Linked DNA regions of Caenorhabditis elegans. The protein of the gene in region 2 interacts with the protein of the main gene of each other region in a pairwise test. Each region holds a gene or a part of one and is shown on either strand. Other genes may lie near its edges. The genes, in order: hda-11 and somi-1.

What was found.
Region 1: the proteins of somi-1 (region 2) and hda-11 interact in a two-hybrid assay, tested with the Caenorhabditis elegans proteins (one large-scale study listed by BioGRID).

What each region holds. Positions count from the first base shown.
Region 1 is NC_003283.11:10,524,394-10,529,165, reverse strand, and holds hda-11 (Histone deacetylase 11), read right to left. Parts: upstream 2,983-4,772; 5' UTR 2,857-2,982; coding exon 2,846-2,856; intron 2,778-2,845; coding exon 2,553-2,777; intron 2,356-2,552; coding exon 2,245-2,355; intron 2,199-2,244; coding exon 2,107-2,198; intron 2,041-2,106; coding exon 1,928-2,040; intron 1,372-1,927; coding exon 1,217-1,371; intron 1,169-1,216; coding exon 1,030-1,168; intron 929-1,029; coding exon 770-928; 3' UTR 722-769; downstream 1-721. Other genes in the region: F25D1.3 (Interleukin-17), read right to left, coding at 271-402; xpo-7 (Exportin-7), read left to right, coding at 3,296-3,310, 3,357-3,494, 3,544-4,371, 4,422-4,772.
Region 2 is NC_003283.11:13,385,305-13,393,372, forward strand, and holds somi-1 (Zinc finger protein somi-1), read right to left. Parts: upstream 6,092-8,068; 5' UTR 6,082-6,091; coding exon 6,001-6,081; intron 4,187-6,000; coding exon 3,602-4,186; intron 3,174-3,601; coding exon 2,381-3,173; intron 2,340-2,380; coding exon 2,197-2,339; intron 1,492-2,196; coding exon 1,345-1,491; 3' UTR 758-1,344; downstream 1-757. Other genes in the region: Soluble guanylate cyclase gcy-34, read right to left, coding at 1-5, 53-153, 268-341, 542-544. UniProt on the Caenorhabditis elegans protein: DNA-binding protein which binds to the promoters of let-60, lin-14 and lin-28, possibly to regulate genes involved in hypodermal and vulval development.

The DNA.
Region 1 (4,772 bases), 2.9 Mb from region 2:
TAATTGAATTTTTTTTAAAGTTTAACAATTTTCTGTAAACTTCAATTTTTATATTTGGTCATTTTAGACTGATGGGGGATAAACATGAATATCTATATGACTTTTTGGCCGATTTTCGAGATTTTCCTAAACTTACACTTGGGTTATACTTTCATCCATTTTTCACGCATATTTACACACTTATTGAATAAATCTATGTAAAAATATCTAACAATATCCAGAACATGCTAGTGAAACTATTTACTCTCAATTAAAAAAACAAAAACTAACCAAACTAGGTGGTTCTTCACAATGTTTATCAGTCCATTTACCATTGACATGCCTTCGAACATTGTGTCGTTTTGCTGTCGTGCCTATCACTACTCCAAGAATTAAAATGAAAGCTGTACGGAAGCAAATCATGTCGCAATCGACAGAAGAATCAAATAAAAGATATAGGCGAGAAATGACTGTGTCTCTCTGTGTGACCCTTTACCCGATGATGACCTAGTGACATCCACATAAAGTGAAAATTTGGGAGGAGTCGAGGATTCATAAAAATTGAAAGTTTTAGGAAAAGTTCATATTCAGAGTACTTTGTATTATTTTGGATTGTTTTATTTTTAATGGAATCGGGTTGATATAGAATGTTTCAAAATCATCCATTCGATTTTAAAATGAAATTTTGAACTTGATCCTTCTATCTATTTAGTTTCCCCTGCCATTAAACAATAAAAAATAGTTTAATAAAAAATAATTTATAAGGAAAAGATATGCTGATATAACTTTTTTATTTGATACTGATGAGATTCTTTGACTGGAGATTTTCAATTGATTTTGCAATGAGAAGCGCGTTGTCCTTCTGATACCCTCCACTGGTTACCATGCAAATTGGAATTCCTTTTGATTTTGCTAGATTGAACACAACTTCGTCTCGAGCAATTATGCACTGAAAATTTGATTTTCAAAAAAATATGCAACATCTTATTTCAAAATAGACTATACACCAAATACCAAACTCGTATAACAATATTCCTTGCTTTCACACACCTGTGGACTCAATTTCATTGCTCCCAGAGGATCACCAAGTAGACAGTCTGTGCCAGCGTTGAACATAATGAAATCGAAACCAGGAGGAGTAGTTTTCTCTCTATCAATTAAACACTGTGCCAGTTGTTTGCGTAATTCGCTAAATAAAGTCGGTCAGTGAAAGCAGAAAGCCGCTATGAATACTTACGAGAGGTAGGAAGTATCAGTCGTATGACCATTTACATGAACCGCTCTGTTAATAAATTGACGAGCTTCACGATCATGTGGATAGACATATGGATTGAAAACATCAAATACAAACACATTCGGATTGTCAGCAAAGTCTCGTGCATGGCCATTTCCCTTAAAGTATGATTCAAGCAAAAAATTGGATTCTTAAATTTTAATAATTTTTTTAAACAATTAATATTGTGATTAATATTTCGAATTAATATCTAATATTTGAGAAATATCTTTACGGGCTAGACATATTTCATTCACGTTCCAAATGGTTTTCCAAAATGATACCGTAGTCTATAGAATTCTTAACGTAACTGTAAGGTAGCTAAAATTTGAGGACAATTCTAACTTTGAAAGCTCAGATATCGGCCATCTATGATTTTAGGCAAAATACTTCCTTCATGTGATGTCAGACTGTCTCATTGCGGTTTGATCTACAAAACATGCGGGACTTTTTCCCAGAAAAATTGTGACGTCAGCACGTTCTTAACCATTCCAAATCAAATGAGATGTCTGCGTCTCAACTCCCGCATTTTTCGAAGATCAAAGCGGAATGGGATTTTCTGACTACACGTGTTCCTTTGAGTTATATGCTGTCAAAGTTGAGCAGTGAAGGTGCCGCACGCATCAATAGAAAATATACGGTATTTTATATTCTTTCAAATGTTTTTTCCAGTACCTGATGAGCATCTAAATCTACAACAATCGCGTTGGCAATTGCCTTTTTGTCAAACAAATCGAAAATTGCCATGGTGATATCAGCGTAAAAACAGAATCCACCTCCGCCCGAATCTGAAATTATAGGCTGCTGTACAATCCCATAGCGTCTATTTTTCTTGCGGAATAACAAAAACATACGAGAAGCATGATGGAAACCACCACCCACGTTGATCGCCCAACCATGTTTTAGAGCCAAATTGGCAGCTAAAACTGTTCCACCGGCTTGTAAACTGGAAAACACAAATAAATGAATACAACAATTACTAGGAATGATACCGTAGTGGATGCAATAACTTGCTTTCAATAATGCACGGTGGAAGGCAACCGACAAATGGAATCTCGACGATTTGTGCTGCTTTAATAGGATTTCGAACACTTTTCAGATATCTAAAATAATATGAATAAATTTTTTTTATTAGTTGAAATTGTTGAACGCCTCATCTAACTTTTTTTTAGAATGTCAACTATAAACGTTATGAGCTTAATTATTTTCTTTCAATTTAAGTATGGGGCCATACAAACATGATTTTTTCATAAACCAATTCCACGATTCAATCACATTCACAACACTTTCATGTGCCTACTTTCTATCATGTACTCTAGTGAGTTCTTCAAATGTCGGTAGATTTGGCTCAACGAGTGTTTCATCAGTGATCAGATTCATTTCTTTCAAATGTGTAATGACTCTTCTCCATTTCGAAGAATCAAATGGATGTAAATGTTCGATTCCAAATGCAGTTACATTATATTCAGAATGATAGACAATTGGACGTTGATAACTTTTTAAACTAAAGATTTCATCTTTATCTCTGAAATTATTGATATTTTTGGCATTTCCAACTGCATGTTGTACTACAGATTAAATTTCAAAACTCACCGCTCTGCCATTCAAAATCTGCGTAGAATGAGTGGTTAGAGCGGATAAATAAAGAAGTAGTCGTAAAGATTCTGTTTTTCTTGTTTTTGTTATCAGAAAACAGATAACGAATTCTGAAAATAGTGGAAACTGCCAAAAGATGCCAATTGTGGCGAGAGAGCCTGTGGGATGTAGAGTAGGATGAGAAAGGATGGCCTAACTTTTTTATCGGCCATCCGCCGTGTACTTCACCAGGACAAGATGTTTCGTCTTTCAGAAACTCAAATCATCACCAAAGTTTGCAGTTTTTCGAAACAATTAACGGTGGGAAGACGCCGAATTAATTTTATCCGTTTTAAACATTCTTTTTGCTTTTCAAAACATTTTTCTCCTCTTTCTCAAGCTATAATTACTTCTGAATTGGATATTTTAGGAGTGAATCGCTGAACAGCGGATTCGAAGTCTTCAAAAATGGATGAATTACCGGTTAGCATTTTCAAAATTCTTAATGTGCATTCTAATCTTATTTTAGGTACTAAACAGTCTATGCAAAGATCTATATGAGAGTGTCGATCCGCAAGCCCGACACCGAGCCGAGAGTAACCTTGCGGAACTGTCAGAGTCACCCGAATGCCTTCAAAGATGCATGCTTCTCTTTGCACGAGGAGATGTAAGTCGAAATAATAAAAGTGTTAAACAATTTACATAATGATTTTCAGTACCCATACGGACCAATGGTAGCAAGCACCACACTAATGAAACTTCTCGGCGGAAAAACTAGCATCACTTCTGTTCAGAAGCTCGAGCTTGCAAAATATTTATTGGAAATGCTAGGTCAAGGTGCACCTCAATTTCCTCCATATCTCGTCACATCACTTTGCCAACTTTTTGCAAGACTCACGAAACAAGAATGGACGTATCAAAATCCCACAGAAAATCAAACAGAAGACACAAAAATTGAATATCCATTTCGTGATCCGGTTGATAGCCTTGTCAAAACAATCAACATGGATAATATCGAGGAAAGTATGCTGGCCGTGCAACTGTTAACCTTACTCGTTGCTGACATGAATTCAGCTTCGGGAATGGATTCAGTTAACAAACATCGCAAGAATCTTTCGCAGTTCAGGGACGATTTTTTATATGAGATTTTCTCGGTATCTCTGAATGTTTTGAACGATAATGTGGACAGAAATCTGAACGATCGCCAATTGGGTCTTCTTCACGCGGTTCTCAACTTGAATCTCCAATGTCTACTTTTTGATTATATAGGAAGTTTGACAGACGAAACAAGTGAAGACAACTGTAATGTGCAAATCCCAACAGCATGGAGAGCAAGTTTTACTGATGGAAAAATTGTACAGCTTATGTTCAAACTTTTAAATGTGCTTCCACAAGAATCAAGTGAAAAAGTGATGACAATAATAGCTCAATTGGCAAGTATTCGAAGAACGCTTTTCAATGGAACAGAGCGACAGGCTTACGTTCAAAAACTTGTTGAAGGAGTTGTCAGTGTAATTATGAACCCTGGGAAGCTTAGTGACCAGGTAAGAATAATGAAAAATTAAAGGCAAACATATTTATATACCTGATTTAGGCCGCATTCCACGAGTTTTGCCGTTTGATTGCTCGTCTGAAAACAAATTATCAGCTGTGCGAGCTCATCGCTGTTCCCTGCTACAGTCACATGCTAAGGTTACTCGCGGAATTCACTGTACAAAGCCTACGAATGATGGAGTTCTCAGCCAACAGTACATATTTTCTTATGACATTCTGGCAGAGAATGGTGACGTCTGTTCCATATGTTCGAAATAATGATGAGCATCTTCTCAACGTTTATTGTCCAGAAATCATGACAGCATTCGTCGAGAGTCGATTACAACACGTTGAGAGCATTGTCAGAGAAGGAGCTGAGAATCCATTAGATGATCAAGGAGCAACCCTTCAA
Region 2 (8,068 bases):
CACTTCTGAAAATATCGATATTCGAAATTCAATTTTGATGTACGAAACATACTCAAGACGATTGAAACACTGTCCACAAGAACATACGTGTCTGTATCCGAATAATAATGGTTGACAATATTTTCTTTCCCGTTTTCAAATCCAGATCGCTCACTGGAAATGTTTTATTCATTGTAAAACCATGATTTTAATTGTAATTGAAGTATTGAAACTCGAAAAAGTATATAGTAATCAAATAATTTTTATCTTGAAACTTTTGAAACTCACAGAACTTGCAACCACACATCTTCACCATATTTTCGAATAACAAGTTGTCGAATACTTTCATGAATGAAACCAAACTGAAACAAGTTATGAAAGTAATAATTTCTTTAACAGAAGAACACTTTCGCCAATTATTGAATTCTATAAAATATAGTGCGGAATTAATTTCCGCTTTAGAATATTCTAAGTTTTAAACGGACGAATTCTACACATAAACTCAAATTAAATACGGGATATTGAAAGGACTGTTTTCTTTTCAATTTTATTAGAATCTTACCATTTTGAGAAGTTTTTTGAACAGCTGCAGAGAGGAATCTACTCTCGTGAAATGAAATGAATCTATCAAACATTAAATGAAATCGCGTGCCTACCAAATTATGAATATTCTAGTTGCTGTGAAGACCCCGTATCGTGAATTGTTCATGATACTACCACGATACTGGGCGGTCATATGTTCGACTTTCTATTCCTTGTAAACAAATTCAAACATTTTTTTGAGAAAATTGTTCATCTTAAAATGAGAATAAAAGTCTTTTCATAAAATGATGGCAAATCAATAGAAAAATTGTTTCCTATTTTGTGGATAAGGATGTTGGCAAAAATTATATATTTAGAGTAGCACCTGAGTAGATAAAAAGTAGAAATTTGAAGAGGAAAGAAAGAATAAAGGGAACAAGGAAATAAGCCGGGAGAAAACAAGAGGATTTTGTGAAATGTGTGTGGACCTAGCGAGAGATACAAACAATTGGTAATGGTAGGGGGTTTTCTAAACATAAAAATCTCTGAGAAGCTAACTAGACGGTTTGTTGCTAATCACAAAACATGGCACTGGTCATCGTTGGGGGAGAGAAAGATTAGAGCAAGAAATGAACAGAAGAGATGAAAGATGACGTGGCAAAAGAAACGTCATGAGCATACGGAGTTGAAACGTGGAATGAGATATGTTGATGGACCGAGACAAAATCGTTGCCTTTGTCAAAATGTATCAGAATACGATGACAGATTGAATAGTTGATAAAACGGAAAGTTAAAAATTGAGCATTTTAGATGAAAACCTTTAATAGAAATTTTAGAGAATATTTACAAAAGCATTGGTGGGGGTGGAGGTGGTGGTTGGAAGTTATTTCCATTGGAATATCCTCCCATTGAAGATGAACTGGATGCTAACGATTCAAGAAGAGCACCAGTTTCCGAGTTGAGAATGTTCTTGAAATCAATTGATTCGCTCTGAAAAAGAAACAATATTCATCTTTGATGTACATTTTTTATTGACAATGAGAGAAAATTGTCTTAATTTTGTCAAGATTTTCAATTTTTTTAAAATCAATTTTTTGTTTAATTTACAAATGAAAGCATCCATTCCCTTTAACTACCTCATTTTTGTTTTCATTCGAAACACTCAAGAATTCTACAGTATCTAAATGAGCTTCCGGTCTTTTAACTTCAGTATAGTTTATCAACAAAACCTATAGTACAAAATTGATTAGTTAGTACTACTCGGCTACTAGTTTTTACGTTTTTGTGGCAGGTAAACAACTTTTTTCAAGTAGACTGTATTTTACATTTGAAAGAATCATGTGTGGTTTGTTTCTGTTAATTAGTCGGGATAAAGGCAAAATTTTTGAAAAAAAAGAGTAGGCTAGGACATCAAATTTCAGAGTTTACAGAAATATTGAACATTAAGGATAATTTTTTGATGGCATGAGGTCATACGAGTTTTACTGTTAGACTTCAGTAAATGAACACGTCACTGAATAATGGATTTCCCGAAATTTTCGTAGGTCGAAAAGAAAGACCTTCTGAATACAAGTCAGTCAAACGGAAATTTGGAATTTTAATAACAACTTTCAGGATAAATTAATTATCCAGCTGAAATTTTTTTTTGCATTTAAAATTTTAAATTTAAACAATTCACTAACAAAAAAAACAAACCTCTTCTGTGTTGTTTTCCTTCTTCTTTCGTGGCTTCCTTCCTCTCGAGGAGTTTGCTTTATGAGCTGCCAATCGTTCCTGTAGCCGATCTCCACTGATTCCAAGATTCGAAGCTCGCATTCCTTCCAACTTTTGATCCCATTCTGAAAAAAGTAACCGTTTGGGTCGATCTCGATACTATTACCTTTCAAACTTTTAAATTCAGGCTGCGGATGGCACGTGTTTAAATGACGTTTCATGTTTCCCTTGTACACTGTCACAAAATCACAATCTTCGCAGATATAGGCATCTTGAAGTACTGCAGTTTCTGTTGATGTTCTTTCTGTGTTCTCGAGCATTGGTGTCGGGTATGGTTCGTATGCGGAATTGGAATATTCTCCTGGAGAGCACAAGTCTGAAGAGTTGGCTCCATAGAATGAGGAAGATGGAGGTGAAATTTTTGGTGAATTCATCATTCCACCACTCATTGAAGAAGAATCATGATCATTGTATTCATGTTGATACATTTCATTTTGTTCCTTCTTTACCTTCTTTTTTGGAGATTGTTTTTCATGAGCTTCAACTCGATGCCTTTTCATTGGCTCTGCACTCTTTCGACACTGATTTATATGTCTTCTGATGTTTCCTTTGTAATGACTAATAAATCGATCACAAAACGGGCAAACTGGTGACATTCCATCGGCTCCGGTGGTTATTGCTCCAGACTTGATAGCTGCATCAGTACCAGGGATCGGTGGATTCACACCTTGCGCAAGGGCATCTAAATAGTTTCTGCCAATTATTTCACGACACTTCTCATTTCGTCCAATGTGCCCCGTGAGACTTCGACGTGATGGATAGACACCTCGACAAGCCATACACATCACGCGTTCTTCGTCACCGCTTTCGAGATCAGTGTTGTTTAGATCAATCCCGAGTGGTGGAGTTCCTGAGCCAGCGGATCCAGATGACGTCAAAGCGGGACTATTCAGAGAATTCTGAAAATGGTATATTTAGCAATATATACAGGAAAATAAATATTTCTCTTTGATGTCCTACAATCCGACAATCTAAACTATGTAGTTAAATTAGATTTATCAAAATTTACATCAAATATCATAAAACAAATATCGTAGAAATATACCATTCCCATATTTTTATGTATTATTTCTAGAGATAATTTAATAAAAGCTTAGTCAACTTTTCCAGCTACATAGCCTTATTTCAGTCTCTTTTTACAACTTATTGCTTGGTTTCTGTTAGAGATTTCATTTAAAAAAATTTAACTACAGTGCTGTAGAAAAAATCAAATATTTTGTCAGCTCACTTATTGATTAAAAAAAAATTTTCAAGATATGATCTGCAGAAGATGAGCAATGCAACAAGCTAACACTTTTTAATTATAAAATTTCAAATGAAAACTCACATCGTCTGAGGGTGAAACAGTTGCAGCTGAAACAGAATTATTCCTTAATGTTTCTGCGCTACTGTTACTGGTGCTTCTATGCACTCCATTCGTAGATTTTTGTGTCGCCGGTCGAAGTGGTTCAGGTCGAAGAACTTGTTGTTGTAATTGTTGTTGTACATTACTTGCTTGTGCAACTTGAGCAGCCAATATAAGCTGTTGAGTATTTGGTACACCGGACAGAGATGGAGCATAAAATTGTTGGCCAGCGGCATAACCGGATGTCCTTGGATAATATGGACTTGAATTTGTAGAAAGCCCTGGTACTGTTGGCATGTAACCTGTCGCAGTGGCACGGTAAGCATATGGTGGATCAAATCGTACTGGAGGATCATAGGAATTACCAACCAATGGTTGAATTTGGGGTTGCTCGAAAAGAACTGATTGAGATAATTGCTTTCCAGACCATTGTTCTGGATAGACAGAATGATCACTCAACATCGCATACGTGGATCCAAACAGTTCTGATGTTCCTGTAACGGCTGACGACGACGTTTGAGCGTGCCAAGGTGAGAAGGATTCAATCTGTTGACCAGACATTTTCCCCTGAAAAATGTTCAATTATTATACTTCACAATGACCTAGATCAGTATTTTTGTACTCTTGTATGCCTCAAAAGTACTCGAGTCTGAGAAGGTGTCGCGCGAGAGGTACAAGTGGCTACTGATTCTGTGGGAAGATAAGGGAACCAGTAAACAGTATGGATGGTTCGGAGAACATAGAGAAAAATAATTTAGGTAGAGAAGGGGAAGATTAATGAATCAACCAGAGGAGAGTAAATCAGACGTGATAAAAAGTGATCATGGAAATGATTGGAGGGTCGATGGAAAGAAAGCTGCGTTGATTGGGGGGAGCGCAATGTGGTGGACACTAAAGATAAGGAGAAGTTTGAGAAATTGAGTTTAATAAAAAATTCGTGAGCTTTAAAAGAAAAAAATGAGACAGACTAATAATGTAGTTTAGTGCTTCAGAAGTATAATCTCGGCAATTCCCGGCAGCTTCTTCCCCAAGTTTGGACCTTTTCAGCTTCTTACCCAACTCTTGCCAACTTCTAACCCAGAGTATGCCCAAGTCTTACCCAACTTCAACAATTCTAGTGTAAACTCCCTCGCCCGTGTCTTGCCCAAGTCTTAGCCAAGTCTTGGCAACTCCTTATAAATGTTTTTATTTTTTGGGCAAGGCTTGGGTAAGAAGTTGCGAAGCTTTGGGTAGGAAGCTGGCGGCAAACGCCGAGAAGATGTGAAATCTATTGAATTTGAACCTTTCCAGCAAATATATGACAGATCTTTAAATTTTTAAATCCAGAATACAAAAATAATCAGAAACATCCTGTTTCCTAAAATAAAAAGTAATTACTCGGAAAGCTCGTACGTGTTCTGGTCTAGATTGATCTTGCTATAAAATAGTTAATGATTTTTAGAAAATTATCACAAAATTAATTGGGCCTTTGGAATTTGTAATAGAAAAACTTACGTAGTATCCGTACCCCAAAGCTTGATAACCATTTAAAAAAAAACAAACGTGGCCTTATTCACAAATTTAGAAATGGTAGTTTTTAAGCTTTCATGAATTTTGAAATTTAAAAAAATTATTAACATTCAAATTCAAGCAGCTGAATTTTTATTCTCAAACACGTATAACAAAACTTCCAGAACTATGGAAAAACTACTAACCGCTCTAGAACTTTTTTCGAAAATTTGCATATACAATTTAAGTTCTATCACTATTATCATAATCCGGTGGCCTCTATAGTCACAAAAATAAAAAGTAAAAGTTGGAAGTTTGGAAATTCCAACTGGTCACAAGACAACGCTCGTAAATCAAACTTTTTCATGAAAAAAGAGAAAACCGAGAGGGGGACAAAAGGTCAAATTAACTTTTAATGCTTAAGATGGCGGCGGTCGAAGCTAATTTGCCGGAGAAATATATGACAGCGAATGGTCTATGAATGTTCTGGAATTTCGACTTAAAAAAAGTAAAAAAGCTAATGAAAAATTTTGTTGAAATATAGAAACTTTCATGTAAGGTAAGAAAAATCGTAGTAGTAGTAACCCGTAGTAAGTGGAGACGTAGAGAGGAGAATGTTGCGAGATGGTATCACATTTCCTTACCCTAACGATGCATGCTATCGGTTCAAGGTCTTCCTGTGCCTCCTACAACTACCCACATACCTACAGTATTCTTTCTTGGAGACTTAGAGACGTTATGGGGGAGCGCCACGGCTCTTCTCTTCCCTCCCACCACTTGTCTGATGTTTTATCAGTGCAATGGACATTGGGGCACCCAAGGTTAATGGGCGGAGCTTTTGGAATGATTGGACCTATGACCGTATCCTTCAGTGTAGGTTAGTGAGTTCATACCTTATTATTCAAATCATTCAAGTTTTCAGCCACTTTTGTGTTGTTATTGTCGTTGCTGGTGATAATGGGTGGTTTGAGCATGCAACTCCCTGTAAGATTATGATCATTTTCTATCATCTCTTTCAGGAGAGAAGACGGAGGTGAAGAAAATGGGAAAGAAAAAAACGAGGGAAAGGGTCAAGAAAGGGATAGAGGGAGGAAGATAAAAGAGAGACTAAAATATAAAGAGAAATAGAGGAAGAGTGACCAATTTGAAAATGAAAGGGAAAGGAGAAATGGGAGGAAAAGAGAAGAAGAAGGAAAAACACAGATGATGAACTTTTTCCGATTTTCCCACGGTATCCTCTCTCTGTTCTTTTGTCAGAATTTTTTAAAGGAAAAGTAGCTTCTGGTAGTTTCTAGCTCTTGCCCCATGCTTTCAATAACCAAATCAGTCGTCCGAATTGCATGGCGAAGGGCTCCGGATGTAGATGTAGCGTCGAAGTCTTCTACAAGCCCCTCCCGAAAACTAAATTTGTGTTAGACGCTCGATGTGTATGCGGGCTCTTGTTGAGACGAACAAACTCACTTATTTGACATTTTGTTCCATGCCATCCGCTAGTCTCCACCACCAGCAATAGAAGCAACAGAAGCAACAGCAGTCACCACACTCTCCCTCCAACAATATTTTTTACAGTAGTCTAGTCAAACGGAAGGGGACGAAAAATCGTCGATCTCCGTCGTGAAAAGGTGAAACATTTCGCGCAAAGTCATGGTGTGTGTGTGGACACAACCGACTGGTCACATGAAATGTGAAAAGCCATAGAAATTCAAGGTTGAAGTTAAGTTAGCGACATTGGATAGTTTTGCTGCTATTCTCACTGCTTCTACTGGTCAAACAAAAAGCAAAGAATCGCCGCGCTAATCACGCAATATTTAAGACCTTGAAAAACTATATTTTTTGCGAGAAAATATCCTTGAAGCACGTAGTTTTGAAACAAAGGTTCCTACTGTACTGGAATCGGATATTTTTCATTTAAATTAGGGAAAAAATTTAATGAAAAAAATATTTGGAATATTGTTGAAAATTTGTTTTTTATTAAAATTTTATAAAATAAAAAAACATCTATGATTTTAGGTTTTGATTTTACTCGGGTTGGGAATTGTCATTTAATTTTTCTCTTACACTCTCTTTGAACAATATGCTCAAATTCAATTTCACGGAAGAATTTTTTTCAGTTTTTTACCGAATCATTGATATAAAACAGAACATGGCCTGAATGTGCCATATTGAAGCTCTTGCTCAACATTTTCTGGGTATATCAAATGTATGGCACAAATTATTTCTGGTTTGGGTTCATCTCTATGCTTTGCGGTAATTGGAGAGGTCAGATTATAATGCGCATGTGGTGGTTCACTGTCACATTGGCTACACCTGTCTAAGTACCTTCATATTTATAAAATCAGATTTTTGATGCTCAGAGCGGTGGTTTTAATCAGAAAAAGAATTTGAAAAAATAATAGATTGGGCCAGCATTTATCCACATAACCTCGGTCAATTAAGGTTTGCAAAAAAGTTTTTAGTTCTATGATGCTTTCATTTTCACTTGAGCTATATAAGTTCACTTAAAACTAAAACGTCTACATTAATATTAAGTTATTATTAAGGTACATAATATTAAGGTACAGAAAATTTTGAATTTTCAAAACTTCGAGGAAGTTTCAAAAATTCAAGAAATTGTGAAAGCTGTTCGAACTGTGAAACATAAAGTTCAATTCGTTTGAAAAATCGCTACATCGTTTGTGGAACCGGTTTGTCCCCCTGATGTCCACCATCTTTTCCTTCTTTCTTTGAAACTAACCATAAAACCTACTCGCAATCCAATCAAAATTCGAAACACTTCAGGACATGCGTTCACAAAGAGATAGACAATGAAAAAACAACAAATATGATGAAAAAAGATGATCATGATAGAAGGAAAGAGGAAGATATTTTGAAGAGTACGTGTTGGATACGGGGTAAATGAGGGTACGGGAAGGTGGTTGGGGGATAACCGGGGAGGAAAATTGAGGCAGTTGGCAACATTGA